3 linked regions of the Bombyx mori genome follow. The protein of the gene in region 2 interacts with the protein of the main gene of each other region in a pairwise test. Links are inferred from orthologs where the notes say so. Each region holds a gene or a part of one and is shown on either strand. Other genes may lie near its edges. The genes, in order: ecotropic viral integration site 5 ortholog, ras small monomeric GTPase Rab6 and TATA element modulatory factor.

Evidence for each region.
Region 1: the proteins of ras small monomeric GTPase Rab6 (region 2) and ecotropic viral integration site 5 ortholog interact in a two-hybrid assay, tested with the Drosophila melanogaster proteins (2 studies listed by BioGRID). The link is inferred for Bombyx mori from reciprocal best matches to the Drosophila melanogaster genes Rab6 and Evi5.
Region 3: the proteins of ras small monomeric GTPase Rab6 (region 2) and TATA element modulatory factor interact in a two-hybrid assay, tested with the Drosophila melanogaster proteins (2 studies listed by BioGRID). The link is inferred for Bombyx mori from reciprocal best matches to the Drosophila melanogaster genes Rab6 and Tmf.

Annotation. Positions count from the first base shown.
Region 1 is NC_085107.1:9,518,589-9,522,736, reverse strand, and holds the start of ecotropic viral integration site 5 ortholog, read left to right. Parts: upstream 1-1,282; 5' UTR 1,283-1,581; intron 1,582-4,148. UniProt on the Drosophila melanogaster protein: Functions as a GTPase-activating protein (GAP). During border cell migration in the ovary, acts as a GAP for Rab11 and is necessary for the maintenance of active receptor tyrosine kinases at the leading edge.
Region 2 is NC_085111.1:16,052,824-16,057,106, reverse strand, and holds the start of ras small monomeric GTPase Rab6, read right to left. Parts: upstream 2,874-4,283; 5' UTR 2,747-2,873; coding exon 2,677-2,746; intron 2,327-2,676; coding exon 2,268-2,326; intron 1-2,267. UniProt on the Drosophila melanogaster protein: Protein transport. Regulator of membrane traffic from the Golgi apparatus towards the endoplasmic reticulum (ER). Mediates membrane trafficking during egg chamber growth and organization, possibly upstream of exocyst component Sec5.
Region 3 is NC_085117.1:6,185,800-6,190,182, forward strand, and holds the start of TATA element modulatory factor, read left to right. Parts: upstream 1-1,566; 5' UTR 1,567-1,960; coding exon 1,961-3,826; intron 3,827-4,078; coding exon 4,079-4,296; intron 4,297-4,383.

The sequences.
Region 1 (4,148 bases), on a different chromosome or scaffold from region 2:
GAACCGAAACGCATTACTGCTTCACGGCGGAAATAGGCGGGGTGGTGGTACCTACCCGTGCGGACTCCCAAGAGGTCCTACCACCAGTGACTCCCAAGAGGTCCTACCACCAGTGGTGTTTGTTAAATAATACTAACGTCTGGGTCAGAACTTTTTTTTGGTTTATTAAAATCATAGTACTTGGGAAAACGTTTTTAGCAGAGTACTTAAATCTTTAAGTCTGAAAGTAGTGTAAAGTTTAAGTATACTGCGAACTTCTACCCGTAAGAAAGGCAATCCATAAAAAACTAGATTTAGCTAGATATACCGGTTTTAGACTAAGTTAAAGTTTTTAGAAGGTAAAATGTTGTTCTGTTATAGCCAGAATCCATTTACTTAGTCTCCTACTGCTGCCATCTAGTTTAGATACGAAGTATTAAAATAAATCAAGAAAAAGTGATTAAAACGATTTGAAACGATTCTTGATATTCATTTATGCCGGTCAAATTACACTATTATTATAATATAGTATGCTGTATGTACTATAAGCGCTTAGGTTAAACTTACACTTGTGTGAACCTATGTTAACGCTTCTTATTTTCACAAAGGTCATCACTTTCCAATCTCTGTATACATAATTTACCTTTAACCACATGGATCAAATTTACAAGAGAATTATTGATGAGATGCCGACTTGTTGCTATAATTCATTATTATCTAGGATCAACGGAATAAATGAATATTTTATATTTTATAGTTTGGGTAGGTTTATCTAGTACTGATGAAATTACTGATCAATGTTAACATACAATACTGATTACCTTCTGGGGTACCGAAACCTAGACTGCGAGGCATCGCGAGCTTATACCCTCCCCTAGGCTCTTCGAGAAAGCGGCGCGGCACGTTAACTCTCTTGAATTGATCGCCTTTAACTGTATCTCCGACCCAGAGGACGGAAAGTCCCTTTGGCTATTTCAGCTACTATATGCATACACACGTAAAATACCACTAATCAGTTAGGAAAAAAGTGCCCGAGAAATACGTTCCTCACCCGTGAGTTTGAAAGCCTGGTTCTTTCCTCATGGAGTTACACTTGTGTAAGGTGCGGGCAAAATAGCTTTACAAGTTGTTTTTTTGGGTCTCTCTCGCTTTTCACAATAGTCACAAGGACCTAAAAATATCTGGTGTTATGGGCAAGTTTCCCTTTGCATTTTCAGATAAACAATTGAGTACATAAATTTATGTTAAATACCCATTGGATCTTTTAAATATTTAACTACAAGTCGACTACGGCATTTTTATTTGGGCGAGAAAACATTTGAATCCCATGGCACCGTTAATAGAGCTTATATTTGTGTTGGCATTGACATCACTATCACATGTCAAAGTAACGAGACACAAAGAGACATCTTTGCTAAAGTTTGCTGTGTATAGTCTGTATTCTGAAGTATCTGGAGTTTTAAATTTTGCCAGCTGGGCGGTTCCAATATTTATTTTATTTATGAAAAGAAAATAATTGTTTTACGAATTAATATCGGAGTCTCAGTTCCCGGAAGCTGTGAAGAATCAAATTATTTAATAAATTTAGTGTTATGCTGATACGTAAGTAAAATTAAATTTAAACTACGTGGTAATCTGTTACATGTCGATTGAAATCAATACCAAGCTGTTGCGAAAGTAATATTGTAAATTAGTACATTAACCTTACAGTTCTACTGAGTGTTCGCCGGAAAAGTCGAGCATAAAAAATGCATTGTAGGAATTGTAGGTATGATAAATCATTTAAACAACCCTCTAAATTTGTAGTCAGTGAGTTCTTATGTCTGATTTCTATAAAGATCAAGTAAATATTTACCATGACAACAATGATGAATATTAACAAAATTCTCAAAATAAAAGTAGACAGTATATTTAAAACACTTTTTTCCTGATATAATTTTTTTGAACCAAATTTTCACTCACAACTAATTCCTTTATTAAACGATAAAACTAAAACAAACAAAAGCTTTGAGTAACAAGTCTCAAAAGCTTACCTAATTACCTAAAGACACAATTTTTCCAAATGTTTTTTAAACAGAATGAAACTAGTCTAAGTAACAATTTTGCAGGCATACTTGTTGCTACACATCAGATAAAAATTTAATTTCTTTAATGTTTCTTCCTAACTCTTGCTATTTTTAATTCACATTAATACAAAGATTGGTTTAATAATTTTAGTTGTACCTAATGTATTTATGATCTGGCCCATAAATAGTTTAACATCACAAATTTAAAGAAAAGGACTCTTACAATACATGTTATAATACAATGTCCTTCTCATAATTATAATTTAATACAAAATAATCAATAATGCAAGATGACAGCATCTATGCAAAGTTTTAACTGAATTGGAGAAACAACTTGCGAATTTGTTTTATTTTCAGTTTCCTATCCAGTTGCACTATTCACTGGCTCCTTGACATCTCTCTAGCTCCTGCCAGCAATCCTCATCTCACCATTATTTTCATTAAATATGTCAAATTAGTTTATATCCTGTAGACCCTTGAAAATATTTGATACAGGACTTAAGAGCCAAAGAATAATATAATATAAGGATACTACCATATAACTGCTGATATTTAAGGACCAACCTCATGTCGTAAATAACTGCAGGCTATCTGTTAAAATTTTAAAGCACTAAGTTAAAAGCTTTCACCATAACCCTTAAAAAACAGCTGTATGAAATTACAATTTACTTAGATAATTGTGTGTGACCCAGAATTTGTAGAAGTTGCACACCTTACCTGGGTATATAGTGTTTAAAAACACAGAAAAATTATAATGTATAAGGAAACAAACGAATCTATAATTAAAAATATTAAATCTAGAGCTCAATTTAGAGTTTACAATGTTTTTAAATATTCAGATTTTTGTTGAAAATCTATTGAATGTCTATTTTCACCCCTAAAAAACCTTTTAACAGTCATCACTAGTAAACCAATAATTAACCTTTCTTAAACACATTTTACACAGCTCTATTGCATTACAGTTTTTTACAGCTCAATGACTTTTTGAGTCATCACCATAACTTCTAACATAAGACACCTTGATTGATACTTAAATCAATTTCTATAGATGGCTTCACCATCAACTCAAATTATAGATACAGTACAATAATTCAGTAATATAATGAATTATTTTACCATGCTATAGTAATTCATGAAAACGCCATATTAATAACACTTAGAGCTGTAGAAATCATGGTATTTTTTTATGTTTTCATGTAAAAGACATATTGGTTGGTGTACGCAAAAAAACAACTCTGATTACTTAAAATAATTTTATCTTTTTTGTCATAGTGGTTCTGTTTATTATAAACAATACATAATTGTTCTTTTGATAAAAATTGATTTTAGACAATGCCTTTGTGACATGTGTCAAAGTGTGACTATGAAAAAATCACCACTTACCAAATAACTCCTTCAGACAACATGCACATTGTGACGAACGGTAGTCATATTATTCTCAGAAAAATCACTAAGTACCTGCCCGAATGCTCTGTCCCAAATTTAAATAAAAGTAGGTAAATTAATTGCAATTGTTTTGTATTTTTTTTAAACCTGTTAACAATGTACTAACTCTAACATTTTAAAAAAACTACTCAAAAATGTATTTTGAATAATTATTTACTTGCTGGTCATAACTATTGCAGTGATTTCAAAACCACATATTTTCCATAATTTCAGGTACATTAAAACATTAGGAAAACAGTCAATACCCTTCGACTTGCCTCTTGCATAACACTTAATTGCTCAGCGAAAACTTATTAACATATCTATATACTTACTATGAATATTTTTTATGTTTATTTTATGTTAAGAAACCAAATAGGTACATTGCTTTTTCCTTAAAATTTATTACTTTATTGTTATATTTATATTAAGTCATAATCACAGATATTTTTATTCAATTTGTAACTTTTTTACTCGGTGAAAGTGAATTTGTGATTAATTATTTCTATATTTATATTACATATAAAATATTGCTTTCAAACACCTTTAAAAATATAATGGTTCTTAACTTTTTATAAACATATGTAATAGGATCACTAACTAAAACTAATTACATGCTCTGCGAAGTTATCCAGTTCAGATACTAGCTACTTTCTTTTTTAAAAACAAACTTACGTT
Region 2 (4,283 bases):
TCGAGCTCACAGCCCACCTGGTGTTAAGTGTTTACTGGAGCCCATAGACATCAATAACGTAAATGCGCCACCCACCTTGAGATATAAGTTCTAAGATCTCAGTATAGTTACAACGGCTGCCCCACCCTTCAAACAGATACGCATTACGGCTTCACGGCAGAAATAGGCGGAGTCGTGGTACCTACCCGCGCGGACTCACAAGAGGTCCTACCACCAGTAATTACGCAAATTATAATTTTGCGGGTTTCACTTAAATTACACAATGTTATTCCTTCACTGTGGAAGTCAATCGTGAACATTTGTTGAGTACGTATTTCATTAGAAAAATTGGTACCCGCCTGCGGGATTCGTCTTATCTCTTAGGCCACGACGACTTCAAAACAAACATAACTTACAAGCTTAATCGTATTATACCAAAAATCTTCTTTATAGTGCAGAATTAAAAAGCAACATCTTAGTAAGTAGTAACCACTCTAGGAGATTAGGAATTATCAAATTAGATAGGAAAATAGATGGGGCTATTGTTACATCGAGGTGATGATAGAGAAATAGCAGCAGTAGCTCCTGGATGCTGCACTCGTATTATCTGAGATCTTAGAAGAGTTATGGATGCCTTGTGTGGATTCGATGTTGAATAATACAGGGTGTCGTGTCCATTGCTAAGCCAAAACAACAATAAACTTCTAGCATAGAGTAGGTAAATGGAAAATAATATTTATAAATAGGCAAAGACAAGAAGTTCTTGTTGTCTTGTTTTTCAGCTGACTTTCATGTCACCATGGTAAAAATGGAAAATTCTTGTTGGCACTTTTACAAACCAAATGTCGATGGCTAACACACAAAAATGTCGCGTAATCCATTTGGTTTAAACATTTAGACAGTTTTGTAACTTCACGAGAGGGCCATTTAAAGATAAAAATTTGGAAAAAATATGCTACCGCAACTTAAATTGGAATAACATAATTGGAGTTTAATTAAAAACATCGAATTGTTGATGCTAATCTATACTAATATATAAATTTACTGTGGTTTTTACTGATGTTCCATTATAACTACTGAACCATCCATCCGATGGACTTGAAACTTGGTATCCGTGTAGAAAATACATGTACTTAATGGATAGGCTTATATTTATATGAGTGTTGGACTCCCTACACCAGTTGCAGGGGTGTTAATGATGAGAATCTTTGTGGGGGTGAGAAATAATAATGTTAATTTTAAATGCCCAGCGAAGCGGACGGGTACAGCTAGTACCAAATAAATACCTAATACCTAGATAAATGTCTCTTAAACAAATAACCCTTCACCCCTTAATATAATGAATCTAAATTTTAAAATGTCATTGATTTTATAGATGAATTTCAGCCTTTAAGTGAATACTAGTTGAATGAAATATACATTATAATGATATTTCGCATATAAATATATTGTGAGAGTGTAATGTAACAAGAAGGGAGATCACACACATTCCCTTGAGACTTCAGACAGACAGACATATCATCTTAGTTACATCTTTTTAATTACATTGTACAAAGTAATAAATACATTTGTAAAGGATAAATTGTTAATTTAAAAAACTACTGTAAGGGATTTTCTAATATGGATCACAGCAAATCAAATTCCTCAATCTGTATTAATTTCTAGACCCAATTTAAATGTGAACAAAATTTTAATTATAGTTCACTCTATTATTTTTTTGCAACCTTTGAACTTTATTCAAAACCTGTGACATCCAAAGATTTATGGGTAAAATGGACTAGAATAACATTATGTAGGAGGGGCTAAAAAGCTCTCTCAATAATCTCAAATAATGCTAGGTGCTTAACAAAAGTTTGGTGTCCACAAGAGTATCTAAGTTTTGATGGGATGAGTAAAGAAACATTAATTCTACAGCAGAAGCTAAAATTTAATAATAAAAATAAAATAGGTTAAGATATTTTATAATTAGCAATCAATGTGTTGTGGAAAAACATTTCAAATGTGAATGCTAATTTTTGTATTTTTATTACAGAACAAAAGTTATTAACAATAATAAATGTTCAACAAAAAATGCATTTTTTATTTTAAGTGATCAAGTCTTAAAGCTTATGATTATAAGTATTCAATTAAGGATAAATAATAAGAATTTACTTTGTCAAACGTATCCATAGCTGTATTTCTATGTTGATCAAGTTTAATGATGAAAATTATCAAATGTATCGAACTTAATTTTTGAAACCATGGCTTGATAGTTTATACTTTTACGACTGCATAGGTCTCTGACTCACCTGATAAGTATTGTCGAAGCTGTCGTACATGAATCTAGTGATGAGAGACGTCTTCCCAACTGAAAGAAAAACAATGTCATACCATTCAATCCCATTATCGCACTACACGCGAATTAATAAGAAAATTTATTTTCGATAGCGGCACAACCGTGAGAACATTGTACGCTCACAATACGATGAGAGAACGTAACCTACATCAGTCACGTAATTCAGCGCTCTAGAAACGAAATTACATTAAAAAACTATAATCGAAGAGCAATGAGAAAAAAACTGCCTTTAAAACCCAGCCCGGACTATCTAGGTCAGTAATTCAATAAAGTCTAGACGAATCTATCCTTACATATCGTAAATTCAAAACTGTATATTAAAAATGTACAAGAGCAAAACTACATTTTTGCCGTATACTTACCACTCTGTTCGCCGAGAAAGACAAGCTTGAATTTGCGTAAAGGATTACCAAATTCACCCGATGTAGACATCGTTATTGTTTTAATTATTACGCTAAACTATAATTTTACAGTAATCTTATCACAGAAAACTACATGAAAATGAACGTTCCACAATGACAGTTCGAACCACTCCTGCGACAGGCGAGCGCAGCGCCGCCACGTTACGGCAGACTGACGGCGCGACGAACTAGCCAACTCAGCAAATCTACTAATGACTCAACATAGCATACTGCGAACAAAAAAAAACATTTCAATTCGTATTTTAGATTGGGATCTAAAACAATGAAAATACATTCCTAATTTAAGTTTCTTTCTAAACTATGTATTTGATTTTCTTGAAAGTATATACGTTTCCGAACGATACAATTATTATTCTGATTGCAACAAAGACATCCATCCATTTTTGGGAATGATATTTTATTGGAACGAAGTTCCTTACGGCAGGCTTGGAGGAGATAGGGATTTTGCTGCGCGACCGAACTGAAAAAATGTGATAGTAAAACCGTAAGAAAAAGTCCGTGGAATAAAACCGTTAAATGAGACGTGCGCAGGCGCGACAGTCGTATACACAAGCAAATAGTTTAGAATTCCTTTCTCTTTCTCCTTCTTTCTTTTCGTTCTCTCATCCCTTCTCTCTCTATTTTGTAATTATTTCTATTTCTATGTAATTTTATGTTGTCAAACAAAAATAAAGATATATTTTGTTATTTTAATTGATAATTTGAATTAAGTTTTATTTATTTATTTTACGTAATTTATGATTTCCTAAAATATTGAATTTCCTAAATACTCTCCTGTATTTAAATAAAAACTAATCAGCAAAATTTAAGAGAAAAATCAAGAAAACCTACATAAAATTGAGCACGATTTTTTTTTTGCAAATTGTGTCGATTCTACATTAGCCGAAGGAACTTCGTTCCTACCTGGTGTCCCACGACACCACATCTTGTATTTTATAAACACATTCTTTTTTGTTAGGCATGATTGGCTAATTATTATGCTATGGATATGTTATGAATAATTTCATGGCTCACCGGGTGTTAAATTATGTAAAATGTAACTGGCTTTGTCAACCTGACGCCATCTCAATAAAAATTTTGATAAGTTACATTAACGTTCTCTATTTTTTTACAAAATAAGCTTATTTTAGTTGTCATAGTTTAGTTTAAGCATAATTAAGGGATGTGCACTCGAAATCAACCAATAGAAATCGATGCTTAAATGGACAATGCAGGGCAATGTGATATTTTCGTTAGATGTGTTTATTGCTGTGACTCGACTAGAATTGAAAGTAGGTACCTAAGTGGTCAGAACACACAGTGACACACATAATAAAACTCGTTATATTTTTGGCGGGAACGCGAAGAGTGAAGTTGTGTGATTTGTTTTATTTTGTCTATTTAGTGTTTCCTTCTTCAGGTTTAAATGTGTATTAACGGTGGTTTATTTACTGTTTCATATCTGTGAAAGTGCACAAATGTGGGAAAATGAAACAAAGCCGCTGAACGTAACTTCTCGGGATCCTCCAAAAAGTCCACTGAAAAAGTCTCAGTAAATGACCACCACC
Region 3 (4,383 bases), on a different chromosome or scaffold from region 2:
TACTGTTATCAATAATAAATTACACTTCCCTAAGCGAAGCGAGGGCAGGTCGTTAGTAATTGTATATTTTCCTAATCTGATGGGAGATGTCATTATTTCTGAGGTATAGTTCATTAAAATTTAAAATAATAAAAATAATAGTATCATAATTAACTAATAATACTAAACAATGTAGTCCAAAATATTTTATTTTAAAAGTATAAAATAATAAAAAATGGACAACAATGAATAAAAAATATGCTCCAGGTGAGGCTCGAACTCACAACCCCGGCATTACTCACACGTACACTGTCTTATAAGTACCGTGCGCTAACCAATTGCGCCACTGGAGCGATGGGAACGTGGTCGAAAATATATATTACTTAGTAATAGACTATGTCAAACAAATTCAATACTTTTTTTTACGTACGAACAAAAACTAAATACATAATTAACATATTTAAACTGAAAGAATCCTCGAAATTAATATAAACAAATATTGCTATTTGCTAAATCTTTATTTAATGTGATTTAAAAGTGTAATATTTAATCGCCAAGTAGTGAGCCACTTAGGTACTGATTTAATTTTATAAATTGAGGGCGTCTATTAGAGATGCATAAACATATTCGTAACATTGAAATAAAATAAAATATTTTTTAGTATTGCAAACGTGTTAATGTGCCTAATAACAACAATAACAGTTAATTTTAATCAATTACTAACAAAATCACACTCCGCTGTATCAGCAATATCAGCCGATCCATTCTTAAAGCATGCTCAATTTTATTTGTATTAAATGGACATGCTAATTTAAGTATGGAATACTCAAATTGGTACCATGATGAACCATTAGGTTAAAAGCTAAATAAAGTTTTACAGAATTCAGTTCGCCGTTGTTTTGTTTGTATAAATTAAAAAAGTTTTATGTCATTATCATTATCATAATTTAGTCATTTAATGAGAAAAACTTAGTAAAAAATCAGAGATATCTTCATTAATTGATCTTTCAAATATAATGGGAGGTACTCTCATAGATACAGACAAAAATCGACGACAAATAGTTTAAAATTTATTTTCAATAAAAGTTATGTACCGTACTATTAGATTATAGTCTATTATAATTATAATTTATTCAATCATTCAAACCGATTATTTCATCAACTCAAAGATTGCAATTACAGACAATAATATCTTGGAAATAGATTTTGAAAAGCTTTATGGAAAGAAAAAGTATAAAAATACTTTTCCGCTCGTTCCGGACCTCTTTCCTAAATGTAAGCCACCAAACAATCTAAAGAAAGGGCCCGTTCTTTTTTTTTTCTTTTCCTACCTAGGCTGGTAGCCTAGAGAGGCTATTCCAGCGGAACCTTAACTAGTAGGTGAGCTCACGGGGCTCAAACCTGACGACGATGCTAACACGAACCCTAGCAAGAGTCGTGCTTCGCAGAATCTACCACCGGATCGGAAACGCGACCCACTGAGAAGATCCGGCGAGAAACTCAGTGGGCTGTGTCTGAGAGTTAATTTACTCGTCGAGCCCTTCGTCGCAAGCGACGGGTTCGACGAGCACGGTGACCGGATGGGCCCGTTCAGGTGGTTTCTCGAATTATATACTCTTTGGTTTTTCGGATATTTTCAAACAGTTCATTGAATTCACAGAAAGTTCGTGCTCTTTTTATTTAATATTGAGAGCTTATTTCCACAATTAATTTTAGAATTTACTTCATTTAATTCGTTCTATTTTACTTTTTCGATAAAGAATCCAAGACTTTATAAAAAATAACATTTGGCTTAAAAGGCTAGAATCCAGGTCAATACATAAATAATAACAAAATGGAAACGTCATTGGACTATGTTGAATTGTTGATCAATGTTGACGAAGTTTTCTAACAACAAATTTCTTCGAATGACCTCATTCAAAATAAAATGTCGTTCTGATTATTCCTAAAATCTTAATGTTGTGTCTGATGACGCCTGAACATGAACTGGTTTGATACGTCAGGTATTACGAGCCTCGCTAAGACTGCGCTCAAAGGTGCTCAGAAGACTATTGATAAGGCTTTGGACATACAGGATGATAGTGAAAATGAGGAAGATCAGCCATCACCAACTAACAACGAGAGCGAACGATCATCAGGTAAGACACAAAGTCTGCAAAATGAAGGTGATTTTTTCACGTCTTGGGGACTAGGGATGAGCGCTAGTAACGAAGAAACAATAAATATCCAGCCCGTCGTTACTGAAAGTCCTTCGAAATTGAACTCGCAGAGTTTGTGGGGTTCCTTCGCCGGTTCTTTTTTCGAAACTCAGACTAAAGGTGATAGTGCAGTCACCATAATTAAACCTCCCAAAGCTAAATCTTTGAACATTATACCTGATACCAAATTTGGAAGTCAGGATGACTTGTTTTCAAAAAGTCAACTTGTTATGTCTGACACTGATGGTGTGGAGACTAAACCTAAGCCTGAGGAGCCTAAAGTTGAAGACAGAAGGGGCTCTTCACGATCTAATGCATTGTCATTTATGTCTAGTCGAAATGAAAGTTCTGATTCTGTCGAAGTACTATCACATAGCCTAAAAACTACACCAGATTCAGAAGCATCTGGACAGTCGATGTCAAGTAGTAGTACAGGTCAAAAACAGAATTCTGAATCAGTGGAGATTCTACTAGATAGTTTGATGAGCCCAAGTTCCATAGAATGTCTTGGATTTGATAGTTATTCAAGTGATAAAAATAGCAGTTTATCATCAAATCCATCACCTGATGTCAATGACAAAAAGTCAGCGCTAGGAGATGTAACAGAAAAGCCAGAGACAGCAGATAGTGTAAGTCTAGTTGCTGATGACGATGAAGACACAATATCCTATAATTCCATCTCTGAATGCACAGCGCCCACTGTACTTGACACGGATGATAAACCAATCAGTCCGTTTCAAAAGAAAGACACAAGGAAGCTAGTAGAAAAAGAATTTCTAAATGTTGATCATGTAACTCTGCAGAAGATTCAGGTTTGTGAAAACTCTTCTAATGATGGCTCATGTTCTGACAGAACCTTAAATGCAGACAATGACAGTATCAACCTAGAAAATATTGAAGAGTCAAAGAAAGATGATCATGATGATGTTTTGATTGAGAAACTTAGTGATTCCTCCTCATTCTACAATGTCAATGTCACCAGTGACATGACAAGATCTGGTAGTTTCATTAATATTGAGCAACAAAACTGTAGTGCATCCCAGAGCAGTAGTTCACAGAAAGATGTCTCCATGAAAGAAAGAACATCTCCAGTCAGTTCTGACAGCAAAAGTGATCTAGTAAAAGTTGGTTCAGACAGAACTTCAGGTCACACTTCAGGAGATGATTTAGAAACGACTACTTCTTCAGACATAGAAATTATACCAAGTCCAAATGGTGATGGAAATAGCTTTAGAAATAGCCCTGCTAAGTATGGACTCAAACCATTCAAATTTGATGGAAGTATTTCTCCTAATTTGGTTGACTTGGTGCTAGGCAAGTCTTTAGCCACAAAAATAAGGGGCCACAACAGGGAACTGTCTGAGGCATCTGTGCAAAGTAACAATAGTGATGACAGTCAAAATTCTGAAAATGAAAGGTTGATGAGGAGGCTGTGTGAAATGACTGAGATATTGGAAGCCAGAGAAAACAGACTGATGGAAGTGAGCAGAAATAATGCAGAACTGGCAGAGTCTAATGCAGATTTAAAGACACAAGTTGAGTCTTTAATAGCTAAGCATGAGGGTGGAGATATTAATAGTATAACAGAAGAATATACACAACGGATGTCTGCTTTAGAGAAGAAATTCCAACAGGCCATTAGAGAGAAGGTACTCTATATATATAATTGTTTTATTGAGAAACATAATCAAAAAATAGCTATATGTCTGTGATAGATTTTCCCATGGATATAAGAAAAAAATTGGTTGGAATAGACCTGTGCTTGGCATATTCTGGTTACCATTAAATTTTCATTACAAACCCAGGTCTGAAATGTCAAAAACTTACATGTTCTGAATATTATGAAAATTTCAATCATAGCCTTTGTACAACTAATCTACAAGTAGTCACTTTTCTCTCAGGACCAATTAAGAAAGCAATTAGACAACCTCAAGTCTGAATGTATATCTAGGAAGAACTCATCAGAATTTGAAAACATAATAAAAGAGAAAGATGATGTGATAGCCCAGCTGCAGGAGGAAGGCGAAAAGCTATCCAAACAACAATTACAGCATTCCAATATCATTAAAAAGCTGAGGGTTAAAGAAAAAGACAATGAACAAGTTATTAAGGCTCTTCGGTGAGTTCTTAAAGTTGAAAAGCTTCTTAAAAATCCCATTGGCATAGATAGGTCCCAACTTGCTATGTAATCAATGGTTTATCTTTA